Cricetulus griseus: one gene and its partners. The protein of the gene in region 2 interacts with the protein of the main gene of each other region in a biochemical or structural test. Links are inferred from orthologs where the notes say so. Each region holds a gene or a part of one and is shown on either strand. Other genes may lie near its edges.

Region 1 (4,564 bases), on a different chromosome or scaffold from region 2:
CCAATCTGATTTATTTTCTAAATAGTCTTAATATATAGCTCAGGCTGGCCTAGAACTCACATTCCTCCTATCTTAACATAAGTACTAAGATTAAAGGCATGGGAGCCTTCTAAAAATTGTTTTTGTTTTGTTTTGTTTGAGACAGGGTTTCTCTGTGTAGCCATAGCTATCCTGAACTTGCTCTGTAGACCAGACTGGCCTCAAAAGCAGAGATCAGCCTGCTTCTACCTCACAAGTGCTGGGATTAAAGGTATATATCACTACTGCCCAGGTCTAAAATAATATTTTTAAAGGATCTACAGCTAGGCATGGTGACACACCTTTAATCTCAACAATCCAGAGGCAGTTCCATCTCTGTTAGTTGGAGGTCAGCCTGGTCTACAAAACAAGTTTTCAGCCTAGCCACAGCTACAGAGACTGTGTTAAAAAAAAAAAAAAAAAAATCAAATCAGAGGAGCTACAAAGAAACTGTCAGGTTATCACTACCAAGATCACTTGGTCTGCCTACTTGAAGTGCCTTCACCTTCATAGTCTCACCTTCATAGCCTCACAGATGTCACTTGTGGGTATTCCCCTAATGAAAAATTAAACTTTTCATAAGTAAAAGTGCACAGAGAACTCATTTTGATATGTGTGACTCACAATCTAGTTTACACTGGCAATATCTCCAAGCTTGCACTATCCCTACAGGGAATACAGATCTGCTTTTCCCATCTGATCTTTGCAGATTCACTATAGATTGAAAAGGATTCACTAAAAGGGCCATTAGGAAAGTAGTTATAATCCACAGCATAGTCAAATGTGGGCTGTGAATTGGGACAAGAGGAGGGGGGATCAGTATTTGCTCAGTGGCTCCCATTAGAGTTAGGTATCTCCATTTACAAGTTTTTTAATAATCTAGGATTTTCCCTATTTTATAGAATATACGATATTCACCTCCAAAAATCAATCTCTCTCTCTCTCTCTCTCTCTCTCTCTCTCTCTCGCTCTCTCTCTCTCTCACACACACACACACACACACACACACACACACACACCCTGAAAAAAATATTTCTAAAAGGAATAAAGGAATGTCTTCCTAAATTCACTGCACAAAAAATTTATAAGCATTCTTTTTTGATTTTTCAAGACAGGGTTCCTCTGTAGCTTTGGAGCCTGTCCTGGAACTCTGTAGACCAGGCTGGCCTTGAACTCAAAGACCTGCCTGCCTCTGCCTCCCCAGTTCTAAGGTTAAAGGTGTGCACCACCACTGCCAGGCCTGTATGCATGCTTAAGTAACTATGGCAGGCATTCCTGTTATCACCTCTCTTACTCCCCCAAAAAGAATAGTAATCCTAACCACAATGAAGCATTACTAAAAGTTTTAATAGAGCCAGCTAAGAAATCTATCACAGTTCCTCGAAGTCTCAGGCACAATGACACACCAATGGAAACATAAAAGTGGACTTTGTAGACTAGGCTGGCCTCAAACTCAGAGATCCTCCAGCCTCTGCCTCCCCAGTGCTGGGAGTAAAAGCACATGCCACCATCACTCAGCTTGTTTTTAATTGCAAGTTGAGTATCTCCAAAAAATTTCAAATTTCTGAGGCTTTCTCAGTCAATAGTATGAAATTGGGATAAATGAAATTTTCCAAGTAGGGCATAGTGGTGGATGCCTTTAATCCCAGCACTAGAGAAGTAGAGGCTGGAGGATCTCTACTAGTTCAAAACTAGCGTGGTCTACACCGTGAGTCCCAGGCCAACCTGAGCTGCACAGTAAACCTGTCTTTAAAACAAACAAACAAAAGGAACTCTCCATTCAACCCATTCTGTTTTTAAAAAGTTAATAATTAGAAGTAAACTTAAAAGAACAAATATCCAAATCTTGTACAAAGATCTTAATACAAAAATCTTGGAATGTTAACACTACAAAGTTACTAGTGAAAAAGGATCTTCCAGTGAGGTTTTTCCACACACAAAAGTGCCCAGAAACAAATGTAGTGGTCTGCTTATTCTAGAAGTTATTTCATCATAATGGAAAAAAAAATGATTGATTACAAAAAGAATTTCTAAATCCCCCTTAAGATTTACAATTGCATAGCCCAATCTCCACTCTGACAGAGATGTTAGTTCTCTGTTGGGCTATAACCAGCTGTTTGGTTCGCACACAGGAAGCCAGAAAAGGGAATACCGTGTTCAGAGCCTCAAAATAATATGTGTTAGTTAAGAACTGCCTGCTACTAAACCAAAATTATTCAAGCGAAGCCCCATTTGTCACAATCCAATCATAAGGGTTCCACCAGCCCTCCCCCAACTGTTTGTGTAGTGGTATATCTGCTTCGGTAAAGAAACCATCATCAGGTAAAGATTAGGGTGGGAGAAAAAGCGGGGGAAAGGGGGCACCCTTTCATCTAATTTCGCGAGGCATGAGTAATTGGTACAGTTGAGAGGAACGATGGAACATTCTATTTATTGGAGGTTGGAGTAGGATGGGGGGTGGGAGGAGAATTTCGTTTAAATCAACATGGCCAGCAAGATGTCCCCAACAAACAAAAGGCAACGGGGGGATATAAACACAAACCATTCACCTCCATCAGCTATAGCATCGCCATCATGGTGTATGCAGAGACCCCCAAGACTGCTCTCACCCACCACACCAGCGACAGCAAGAGAGTAGAGAGGTGGCTGCATCCCCACCACCGCTCCCAAATGCACACTCTTCCAGGGGGTTACTCCCCCACCCACCCCGGTGGCCCGGAACCAAGAGAGAAACAGTAACGTCCCGCCCCGGCAGACTCCCCCTGCAACCCTTTAACCGAACCCCCAACGCCGGCTCCGGGCTCGCTAAACTTTCCAAGAGCTTCTCCCCCGTGTCCCCCGCCGATCGCCCCAGGATTGCGCTTTCCCACTGGCCCGGCACCCACTGACAGGCGGGCAGCGGCGGCGAGCGGGGCGGGGGCGCCTGGGCGCCGCGGAGGGGCGGGGCGGCCGGAGCCAAGTTCCCGGGGGTCCGAGCACAGCGCCTGACAGGAGCCCGGGACCGCGAAAGAGGAAGAGGAAGCGGCGGCGGGGCAGTTTTCCCAATCCCCCCCTTCCAAGCGCACCCTACCCCCCCAGCCCCCGGCTGCCCGTAGGGGGGGCGGGGAGGCGGGCTGCAAGGTGAGGCACCCGGGCCCCGGGGACCGCCACTACCGCCACGTCCCGACTCACTCTCTCTTCGCCCCGCCACCCCCGCCAGAGGCGCCCACAACAATAACACGCCGGGGACGACCCGTCAGCGCCCCCGAGGCTCCCGGGGCCCACGGCCCGCCGCAGCCAGGCCCCCTCCACTGAGGCCCGGAGCGCCTCTCCCGCCTACAACTCCAGACCCGGGTGGAGCCCGGCCCGAGCGGCCCCCCCAGGGTCCGACCCATCCCCCCCGGCACCAGCGGCGCCGTCTCCACGGCCGAATATTAGAAGTGAATTCGAGCTGCGCTTTACCTTTAGTTCCGCACTGTCCGCCATCTTGCGTCTGTCAGCGCAAGCGCAGTGAAGCTCGCCGGGGGCCGCTCTGAACCCTCCCCTCTAGCTGACTTGGCTCCGCCCCCACCCCGCCCCTCAGCCCTCGCGCCCCGCCCCTGGCCGCCGCCCCGCTCCCGGAGCTCGCCGCCCCGCCCCGGGCACGCACAGATGCTAGACCAGCACGTACTATTTAAATAATGGCGCCAAGCGGGAGGTTTGACAGTTACTACTACCTCGGCCTCCCCGCCCCCACACCGGCCAGGCCAGGAGCGTCCGGAAAAGAGGCCGCAGCTGGGGGTGTTGGCCTGAGCTTCGCCCTTCTGCTATTCGGCTGACCAAGCTTGAGCCCCTGTTGACAGAAGCCGCAACGACCCCATCCGCTAGACGCATTCCGCACCTGCACCGTACACGACTGCATGTGAGCCACAATTAGCCAGTTTTGATGCTTCTGTTTTTATTGACGCAGATGCTTATGATGAAACAGTGAGATCGTCAAAGAAATCATTATCATTCCCATGGTATCTTTTCCGAAATAAAAGCTCAGAGGAGAAAAGGGACTCGCTCAGACAGCATTTAACAGGGATGGCCAAAGACAATTCTGCTGACGTCCATTCGTCACCTCGCCTTGTGAGTTCAGAAATCAAGATCACTATCCTGTGATATATAAACTAATAAAGATATAATTATTAATGGTGATGAATAGCATTAGGATCAAAAGGCTTACTAATAGAGAAAAATGGTTTAGGGGAAGATGTGCTTAACTCCAAAAGGGTTTCCTACAACTACATTGATATTTAGACTTGAAGAAAGATTATTTCATGCCTACTCCTCTCTACTAAACGACTCCTCTACATCTTGCAAAACCCCAGCCTTTTATACTGATCAACTTTTCACTATCAAAATTCTCTTAACATTATGTTACTCTGAAGTGTCTCAGAAGTCAAGAAGGCCAGGTCCTGACCAGTGCCCTAGATTATTTTCACTCCCATTCCTAAGGTTTTTACTTCAGTGTCTTTATAGTTGACTATCCCCTCCTCCACTGAGTCATTCTTATCAGCATATAAACTTATCAAATTCCTTCTTA
Region 2 (4,554 bases):
GGACCAAGTACAGACAGACAGACAGATAGCACTTCACAGCCATGATGAGGAAGTGTGCCGAGTCCCCCCTCCACTCTTCTCACACACACACATACACACACACACACACACACACACACACACACACACACACACACACACACACAAACACACCACATATCCTGTGTGTTTTAGTATACAACTATTTGCTCAATTTTTCAAGGGCTTATCAGTAAATCTATAATCTGCTTCTGTGTCAGTGCTGTCTTTGTCTAAAGACCTTTAATTGAATTCAACAAACATTACCCGACTTTTATGTAGAGTCGCAGTTTTTGGTCCAGGACTAAGCATTACTAGTAATTACTGTATTTACAAAATAAAGAATGCTACCACAAATCAGAATTTCTAGAGGGTGGCTTTTGATTCACTGATTTTTTTTAAAATTATTGCTCCCAACTGAGTTAAAGGGTCATATTAAATTTACCAGCTAAGAATGAACACAATTTTAAAGCTGTAAAAACACAGATCTTAGTTAAAAAATACAAAGTTTTAACCTAAGACAACACAGTGCAAAAGCCACCCTTTTAAAAACAACAATAATGACTAGAAAAACAGCTGTAGAAAATTTGAAGGAGCCCTATAAAACCCCACCATGTCTTCTGACCCTCAGTCTAACCAAAGCCAGTCAAACACAAATCACAGCTGGCATTCTCCTAGGCTCAGCAACTGCCAACAAGGAATTAATACTAAATTACTTTTGTATCAGAATTGTATCCTCACAATCATAATAAACAAAATAAAGATGAAAAGAAACAAAACTTGAAGATGAAAGGAAAATGAGTCAGACAAAAAACAAAAAAAGAGAAGAGGAAGAGGAAGAAAAAGAAAAAAAAAACAAGGTAAAAACAAGAAAACTGAGAAGACATTACAGCCTCAAAGTTAAATGTTCCTCTTATTTTAGTGTGCCTTGGCTAAAAATAAACATCACGTGTATTATGTTAACATCTAAACAAATAAAACCTTTATAAATACTAGAGATACTATTCTTGCAGAGAAGATTGTGTCTCACAGGAATTTGCCCAGGAGGGAAAAAGTGTAAACACTGGGGATGTTTGTAGGCCTCAATGGGAAGTCTAAACTAAATGCCTGCAGCCAACCCAGCACATGGCCTGATATAGACACAAGTGAATTGCCACCAAGCCACACCCATCCCACCACTGTCCATTGCTAGTGATCTACAGTGTGATCAGAGTTTATGACCTCAAATATTTACTATATAGACACATAAAAAAAAAAGAAAGAAACATGATTTCTCTGGTGTGAGGTAAAATCTGTCAAAATAAACCAGGAACTCTGGACAAAGGGCAAAAGGGCATCAGAAGAAGAGGTGCTTAGAAGCATGGCCAAGCCTCACAATGTGTACACAAAGTACCATAAGAAACCACACTTCAGAGCCAGGCGGTGGTGGCGCATGCCTTTAATCCCAGCACTCGGGAGGCAGAGGCAGGTGGATCTCTGTGAGTTCGAGACCAGCCTGGTCTACAAGAGCTAGTTCCAGGACAGCCTCCAAAGCCACAGAGAAACCCTGTCTCAAAAAACCAAAAAAAATAAAAAATAAAAAAAATAAACACCCACATTTCAGCTGGGAGGCAGTGGTAGCTGTGGTGGCACAGGACTTTAATCCCAGCACTGGGGAGGCAGAGGCAGGCAGATCTCTGCGAGAAAGAAAAGAAACCACACTTTGTACAATGCATATAACTCTACCACAAACATGGGGGAAAATAAGAATGAGGTGTGGAGAACATGAACAAATCATGGAAGAAGGCTAAGAAACGGCTGCAGAGAATTAAATGCAATCACTATTAAGCTGCATAGTATCAAAAGAGTTGAAGAATTTCAACAAAGCACATTAATGTATTTAAGCTTGATATGAACAGAAACATAGAAACAACACTAGGCTAGCCACTTCCTCACCTTCTATTACTAACAGCTTACCATTCCATGAGGAGAATACAGACAATGCCAGGATGTGCCCTTGGAAGAGGAGCACGGCACAGGGACAGAAGTGATGGCACAGGGACCACACTTAACAGAGGTGCCATGTTAACAGAGGTTGACAAAGAGTAAAGGAAAAACATGAGCTTAGATAGGGCTCAGCAAAGACACAAGAGGAGGCAGTAGAACAACAGAACAAAACTGACCTGAGTTCTGTTAAATGCCACTCGTGCAAACACTGCCTGGGAGATTCCCGCTCGCTTCAGTTCATCCCGCACCCACTGGTAGATTTCTGAAGAGACCTCCGTGTTCGTGGAAACCTGCTGCTCCAAAGGCTTATTCATAGACCTACTGACAGGGGGAGGGTGGTTCAAGTACTGTTGGTTTAAGGACTGCTGGGCTAAGAGTCTGTTCACCGCATACTGCTGGTTCAACAACTGGGCCATCACCAGCTGCTGGTTGACTAGCTGAGGACCGATAGGTGTTGACACCAGCCCAGGGTGCAGGTTTGGAAGAGGGGTCCGGACAGAGGGCTGGCTGCCATGGGAGAGCTGTGCGGGAGATGGAGGCTGCTCAGCTGTGTTCCCTGGGACCGGCTGCTGGCCAAAATTGACGTGGTTGGTGCCTTGTTGAGATAGTTCAGACAGACTATCCATTTCAACTAAAGTAGAAAAAAAGGAAAATCAAGTTCAGACAGCAATAAGAAACTTTCTGATCATTTCCTAACATGAGAAATACAAAGAAAGCCCGGGTGGTGATGGCACATGCCTTTAATCCCAGCACTGGGGAGGCAGAGGCAGAGGCAGGTGGATCTCTGTGAGTTTGAGGTCAGCCTGGATCTACAGAGTGAGTTCCAGGACAGCTATGGCTGTTACACAGAGAAACCCTGTCTGAAACAGAGAGAGAGAGAGAGAGAGAGAGAGAGAGAGAGAGAGAGAGAGAGAGAGAGAGAGAGCGCAGTGAAGAATAATGGTGCCAAGATAACTAAGGACACAAGCTCCCAGGCCACGGCTGTGTTTCCCTCTACAGACAATCCCACACACTAAGGGCAGGACAGCGCTCCTGTTCTTGTTTTGAAATGCAGCTTAAATTTACAGCAGTGGTTATCTACCTGTGGGCCGAGACCTCTTTGGAAAACCTCTATTTCCAAAATGACTTACAATACTATAACAAAACTGCAGTTATGAAGTAGCAACAAAAAATAATTTTATGATTGGGGTCATAATAGTATGAGGAACTATATTAGGAAGGTTGAGAACCACCCATTCAAGGCATAAAATTACTACATCCACATTTTTATATTTGCTTAGGGATCAAACTATTACTGATTCTCAGTTACAAGTACAAGAAGGCTTACAAGCAATGACTGTTTCTTTTAAGATGGCTACAAGAATATTGTAGGCTTAACAGCAACGAGAAACCGTGAGCTAAACTAAAAGTGGATAAACTATGATTAAAACACAAAAATATTGGATATACTTCCATATTATGTTAAATCTAGCAATCCAGGCAAAAGAAAGAAGAAGGCTACAAAATAAGCGTGTAATAAGGTGGGCACAACAGCTGGCTGCCACTCTCGGAATCACATGTGGTTTGTTTCATTTAAGTCCAATCATGGACACAAGGGTATCAGCAAATACTTCTCAGGACAAAGCGAAGACATAGAGTAAGCCAGCACACCCGGTGTGGCTAAGGCTTGAATGCTTTTAATAGAAGTGTGGTTCTCACCAGATGCTAAGGATGGGGCAGAGAGCTGTCCTAGTACAATGGTGATGCTGTCACGTTTCTGTAATTTATTTCCACCTCCCCAGAATGAATTCCTCTCCCTTGGCTAGAGCACTTGTGTGGATTGGCTAGGAGTCAGCTCTAAGTGTGCCAAACGCTGTGCTGTTACACATAAGAGACTGGAGGGAGGCTAAAATGAGAGTGTAATATAAACAGGTAAGCCTTTTCAAATGTCCACCCTTCTTATGGACAGACTCATTTCTCTTTTCATTAAATGTGCAGATTTTATAATCAGAGGAACTGGTCATATTGTTTTACTCCAAGATGTATGCAGAATATAACTGAGAAGGGAAAGAAACCTTCAGTTTCTACCAGTGATATCAGCCCAAGCGGGCCATTCACATGAAACAGTAATTCAAGCAATTATTCCGAAACTTGATGCATTGTCTTCATTATAGCCCTAAGCTATAAAAGGCAAAGAATCTGTTTTGGTAGATGGATGGCCTTTCTTCAAATATTAAAAGCTAAAATATGCTCAAAACTTGGGTCTCGTCGCTAAGTCTTTAGGAAAAGTTATTATTGTTGTTACTATTAAGTGAATGGAACGGTGATAAAGATTTATAATAGGGCATACTGCTTTGTATATGAAATACCCTATTTCTGTTTAATTTTAAGATGGATTGTTTGGAAGGTACACTTTGTGAAAGAAGAAGGTACATTAACCTTAAGCATAGTGTTTGCTCCTGCAGCACTGACTGACTCACAAAGAGAAAATGCCAGACTCCAAACGATCAGCACAGCATGCAACCGTGACCTGTCGTTTTACACCTCAGCTCATCCTGATGCATGTCTTAT
Region 3 (4,562 bases), about 1.7 Mb from region 2:
TTTGTTTGTTACACAGACTTTTCCCTTTTCTCTGGGCCAGATCTTGTCTAGGTCTCCAGGCCTGCTCTTCTTCCGGTGTCCCCCAGGAAACTATGTCTTCACAGACTCAACTTTTCCAGCTTCCTTACTCTCCCACTGGGCCAGGAGCCATTGACAAAGGTGGAGTTTTTATGGCTTGCTCATATTAAGTACAAAGACAAACTGAAAAAAAGTCACATATTATGCAGGAAGCCTTGTCAAACCCAACTAACCCAGTCTAAAGAAAACACAGTAATCTAAGCACTCATGTGCACACACATAATTGAAAATAAAATAAATCGTTTTTTAAATCTAAGACAATGTCCCCCCAGGTTAGTCCTGGATCCGGAAGTACTCACTAGGCCACACCCACCCTTTCCCCAACCTAGTGGTAGGAGCAAAGGACTGGCTCTGGCTGGCCCAGCTCCAAGCTTTCAAAACTGCTTTCAGTTTCTCTTCACAGCAAGAAACCCTACCCCACCCAACCCCAGGCAGCCAAAAGTTGCAAATCAGGATGGTACATCCTCCAGGAAGTCACCCACTGGAGCTGTAGCTCCTGAGTTCCTCACCTCCCAACCCCTACACTCAAAGGCTTCACTGGACTCCATTGTAATGGCTCACTGCTTTTACCCAGAATCTCAACACCCACACACTCCATCAACAACTCCAAAGACAGAGCTTAGTGTCATAAGCCCAACTTGGTTCCCAGTTAGAATTCCTCTTAGCATTCACTAAAGAAATCAGCAAATAAGAATGCACAAATTCAGGCTGATGAGATGACTCCTGCAGGAGGTGAAGTGTTCATCTCAAACGCTTGACAAGCTGAGTTCAAATCCCAGAACCCACGTGGAAGTAAGGAGAACACACACACACACACACACACACACACACACACACACACACACACACACACACACACACACACTAAACTTTCTAAGCTTCTCAGAAGCAGGAAGAAAGGGCTTAAATAACAGGTTTTCCTTTCCTATTAGTTTGTCAGAAAATATGACCAAGAAATACTAAAGTTATACACTTGATGTTTCAATACTCAGGAAAACCTCAAGGCCAGTGGAGGAGCATGGTGATAGGGCTGTAATCTTAGGCAGACAGGAGGAATTCAAGGCCACCCTGGGCTTCATGGGGATTTTTTTTAATAGCATGCCTGCAACATCAGGAAAGTTTCAGATACTATACAACAGCAGGCTGTATGGGAAGCAGGAGGCTGGGAGCTGGTGATGGGAACTCGGGAAACATACTGAATCCCAGGCAGAACTCATAGCTGACTGGGTTTCTGAATGAGCCCAGAGCAGCTGCAAAAGCCAAGTCTATTGTATTAAATCCTTGAGCTTGCTCTGAGTTGTCTGCTACTCTCTTCCATGTGACTTCGTGGTACACCAGAGGTTCTGCATTCGCTAGTCTGTAGCTATTGGAGTAGAACTCCAGACCTTTCCCGTTTCTTAGACGAATACTCATGATTCAACTTTCTGCACTCCTTATGATATAAAATATGACGTGACGTCAGTATTTCACAGCTCCTCTACAAAATTCAAAAGTAATAATATACTTGCTTCGTGGAAAGCATTCTCAATTACCACTCTCATCTCCCGGGGTTTTGTTAGAAATGCAGGTCCTCAAACGCCCACCCCAGACCTGATTCAGCATCAGCATTTCCACCAGCTTATTCAGCAATTCCAGCGCACACCACTGTACATAAAGCACCGCGCTAGAGCCTCCTCAAAAGGCAGAGCGACTGCAAGACCTAAACAGGAGGTGGCCGCTGGGAAAGGGCCCGCAGGAGACCACCCAAGGCCCTCCGGGGCTCCAGTAAACACTGAAACCAGCCTTCCCCGGGAGGAATGTCTTCTACTAGGCTAATCCACCCTCGCTGTAGGGGGTGGGGTGAGAAGCGGATGCCGGGAACTTGACCCCTTTTGCAGCAGGCTGCAGTAACAAGGGAGGCGTGAGTGAGTGCGCCTCTTCCTGGACCCAGCTACAAGCCGCCAAAGCAGACAAGACCAAGTCCCCGCCCCCTTTTGCTGTCACCCTGTCAAAACAAAGCCGCTGCTTACAGCGCTTGGCCAGTCTCCCCTGCGGCCTAGGGAGCTAGGGAGCGGAGACCCTTACACGTGCATCTCCAACTGGAGACTCCAGGATGCCAGGAGCCCTCGGGGAGGGAGAAAGGCAAGAAAACTGTCTTCAAACTGAGAAGTGTCCGCCGCCTGGGCTGTCACCTTGCCAGACCTTGTTTACACCCTAAACGGCCAGGATGGCTCTTTCACTAAACAAATAATAACACAAAAATGACAGGCCTGTGGCCTCGAGGCCAAAGCCACCAGGCGCCAAGGACCTGGGCGTGGGGCTGTGCCCACCTCCCACCCCGCGCTCCGCCCCAACGCTCCAGCAGAAAGCCAGGATTCCGGGACTCTCCGGCGCGCGCTGACTCGGAACCCAGCTCCTCCAAGCGAGGCACAGTGGGGAGGGCAAGCGCAGGGAAACACACTCTGATCCCCCCACCCCAAAAAAAGATGCTTCCCAGCAGCGACTGGTTCGCCACACCAAGCACAGTTCTGCTACCCTTGAAAGGTCCCCCGCGAACTCCTACAGAGCAACAAAGCCCCAGGGTATCCCCCGGCACTTGGAAGCCAAGACTCATCATTCCCAGAAGAAAGAGACGGGCAGATCAGGATGAGCCCCCACCCCTGCGGGACGCTGTGCAAGCCGCAGCGGCGAAGCGCGCGCAACGAGTGCAGCACTTCCGCGGTGCCCGCGAGAGGACCGAGCGGGGTGGGGGAGGGGAGAGGAGAGGAGGGGTCCGGGCCCGGCCGTGACCCCGCGGTCGCGCGCGTCCCAGCAGGTACCTTGCAAGCCGAGTACACGCCGAGTTTCTCTAGTTTCTTCGCCCGCGGAGCGGAGCGCAGCTGCGCCTTCTTCACGGCGATCCGGGCCGAGCCGCCGCCTCCCGGTCCCTCGGCTGTGCCCGCCGCGGCCACAGCGGTCGCTGGCCCGCAGGAAGCAGAGCTCCCAGAGGCGGTGGCCAGGGTCCGGGGGGAGCCGTGAGGGGGCGCGGGCGGCAGTGCGGGGGGGCCGGCCCCGCCAGCCTCAGCCATGCCTCCCCGAGTGTCACACGTCGCCGCCAGGGTCCTCGCGGGCGCCAGTGGCGGAGCCGAGACCACCCCCCCTCCCAGCCGCCGCCCTGAGGCCTCCCCGCCCCCGCCGCGCTCCGCCGCGGGCGATCGCAGGCCCCGGAGCGGCCCGGGGTGGCTAGGACGCTAGCGGGCCTGAGCGCCCGGGCCGCGCTCTGCTCCCCTGGGCCGCCGGCATGTTGCTGCGAGCGTGGCCACCGGCCCGGCGCGCCAGGGCCCGTGGGTGACCCGCGACACGAGAGGCCGGGCCGCTGCAGCCCAGGCACCTGCCGCCCTGCGCTGCGGCGTTCCTGGGCTGACACCCTCCCGCACCGAGACCCAACTTCCTCCACCCTAGCGGGAGCCGAAGGAAAAAATGTTTTCCAGAAGTATCCGTCAGCGGCCAATCCTCCTCTTTGTTGCTAATTCACCGAAACCATGGCGTGAAGGGTTCCCTTTCTTTCTTTCTTTCTTTCTTTCTTTCTTTCTTTCTTTCTTTCTTTCTTTCTTTCTTTCTTTCTTTCTTTCTTTTGTAAGGGACTTTGGGTCAAACTTTTTCTTTTAAGAATTTTTCCCCATCCTCTTCCCCTGGTAATTTCTGAACCGAATCTGCCCAAAGAAAACCTCAAATGGATTCTGTTAAACACACACACGCGCGCGCACACACACAAACACACACACACACACACACACACACACGCACACACACAAACACACACACACACACACACACACACACACACACACACACACACACTGGTTACAGTACGTTACGGGTCGGCAAAATGAAAGCCAAGTGCGTGGAAAAAGTTTGAAATGGGTCTGCCTGCAGGGTTCACCCGGGTCAGGGTTACGGCGTGCTTGTTAACTGGAAACAGTGTCCGGGAGTAATGCTGATTTTGACTTAAAATTCATAAGCAAAACTATTTTTCCTATCGCTGATGGCAGGGTATTTAAGGTTTTCATCATGGGTTCACCCTCCTAAAACGACTCCTAAAAAGCCCTGCATTGACTGGCAAGTGCCCTAATTCTGCAGAGCAAGCATGGCCATAATGTGTGACATGGGTCGTAATGTATTTGTGATTGGTTGTCTCCAAAGCTTGATAGCTCCTGCCAAACTCCAGCCATAAGGGATGTGCTTTCCCTTGTAAATCCTCCCTTGCTCGTCCTGTTTATTGCAATTTGCTTTTAGAGATTCCCCCCTTCCAGATCCTGTGCCCTTTTAACCAGGGTGGTTAAAAGTTAACAGTTTCTAATGGTGATGCTACACCAGGGAAAAGGAAGTCCCTTCTCTTCTGCAAGCAGTGAAGCCCGCTGCTGTGAAATGGCAGCCTCTTACTAGGTTACATCTGACCAGTGTCCTTTCCTAGTCTTGGCCTTGGCCCAGTATGGAGGCTCATGCCTATCATCTCAGTACCTGAG

What was found.
Region 1: the proteins of Satb1 (region 2) and Pias1 form a complex in vitro, tested with the Homo sapiens proteins (2 studies listed by BioGRID, with this or other methods). The link is inferred for Cricetulus griseus from reciprocal best matches to the Homo sapiens genes SATB1 and PIAS1.
Region 3: of the proteins of Satb1 (region 2) and Kat2b, one has a biochemical effect on the other in vitro, tested with the Homo sapiens proteins (2 studies listed by BioGRID, with this or other methods). The link is inferred for Cricetulus griseus from reciprocal best matches to the Homo sapiens genes SATB1 and KAT2B.

What each region holds. Positions count from the first base shown.
Region 1 is NC_048597.1:174,476,695-174,481,258, forward strand, and holds the start of Pias1 (E3 SUMO-protein ligase PIAS1), read right to left. Parts: upstream 3,542-4,564; 5' UTR 3,484-3,541; coding exon 3,460-3,483; intron 1-3,459. UniProt on the Homo sapiens protein: Functions as an E3-type small ubiquitin-like modifier (SUMO) ligase, stabilizing the interaction between UBE2I and the substrate, and as a SUMO-tethering factor. Catalyzes sumoylation of various proteins, such as CEBPB, MRE11, MTA1, PTK2 and PML.
Region 2 is NW_023276806.1:251,370,874-251,375,427, reverse strand, and holds part of Satb1 (DNA-binding protein SATB1), read right to left. Parts: intron 2,636-4,554; coding exon 2,181-2,635; intron 1-2,180. UniProt on the Homo sapiens protein: Crucial silencing factor contributing to the initiation of X inactivation mediated by Xist RNA that occurs during embryogenesis and in lymphoma.
Region 3 is NW_023276806.1:249,711,854-249,716,415, forward strand, and holds the start of Kat2b (histone acetyltransferase KAT2B), read right to left. Parts: upstream 3,506-4,562; 5' UTR 3,126-3,505; coding exon 2,877-3,125; intron 1-2,876. UniProt on the Homo sapiens protein: Functions as a histone acetyltransferase (HAT) to promote transcriptional activation. Has significant histone acetyltransferase activity with core histones (H3 and H4), and also with nucleosome core particles.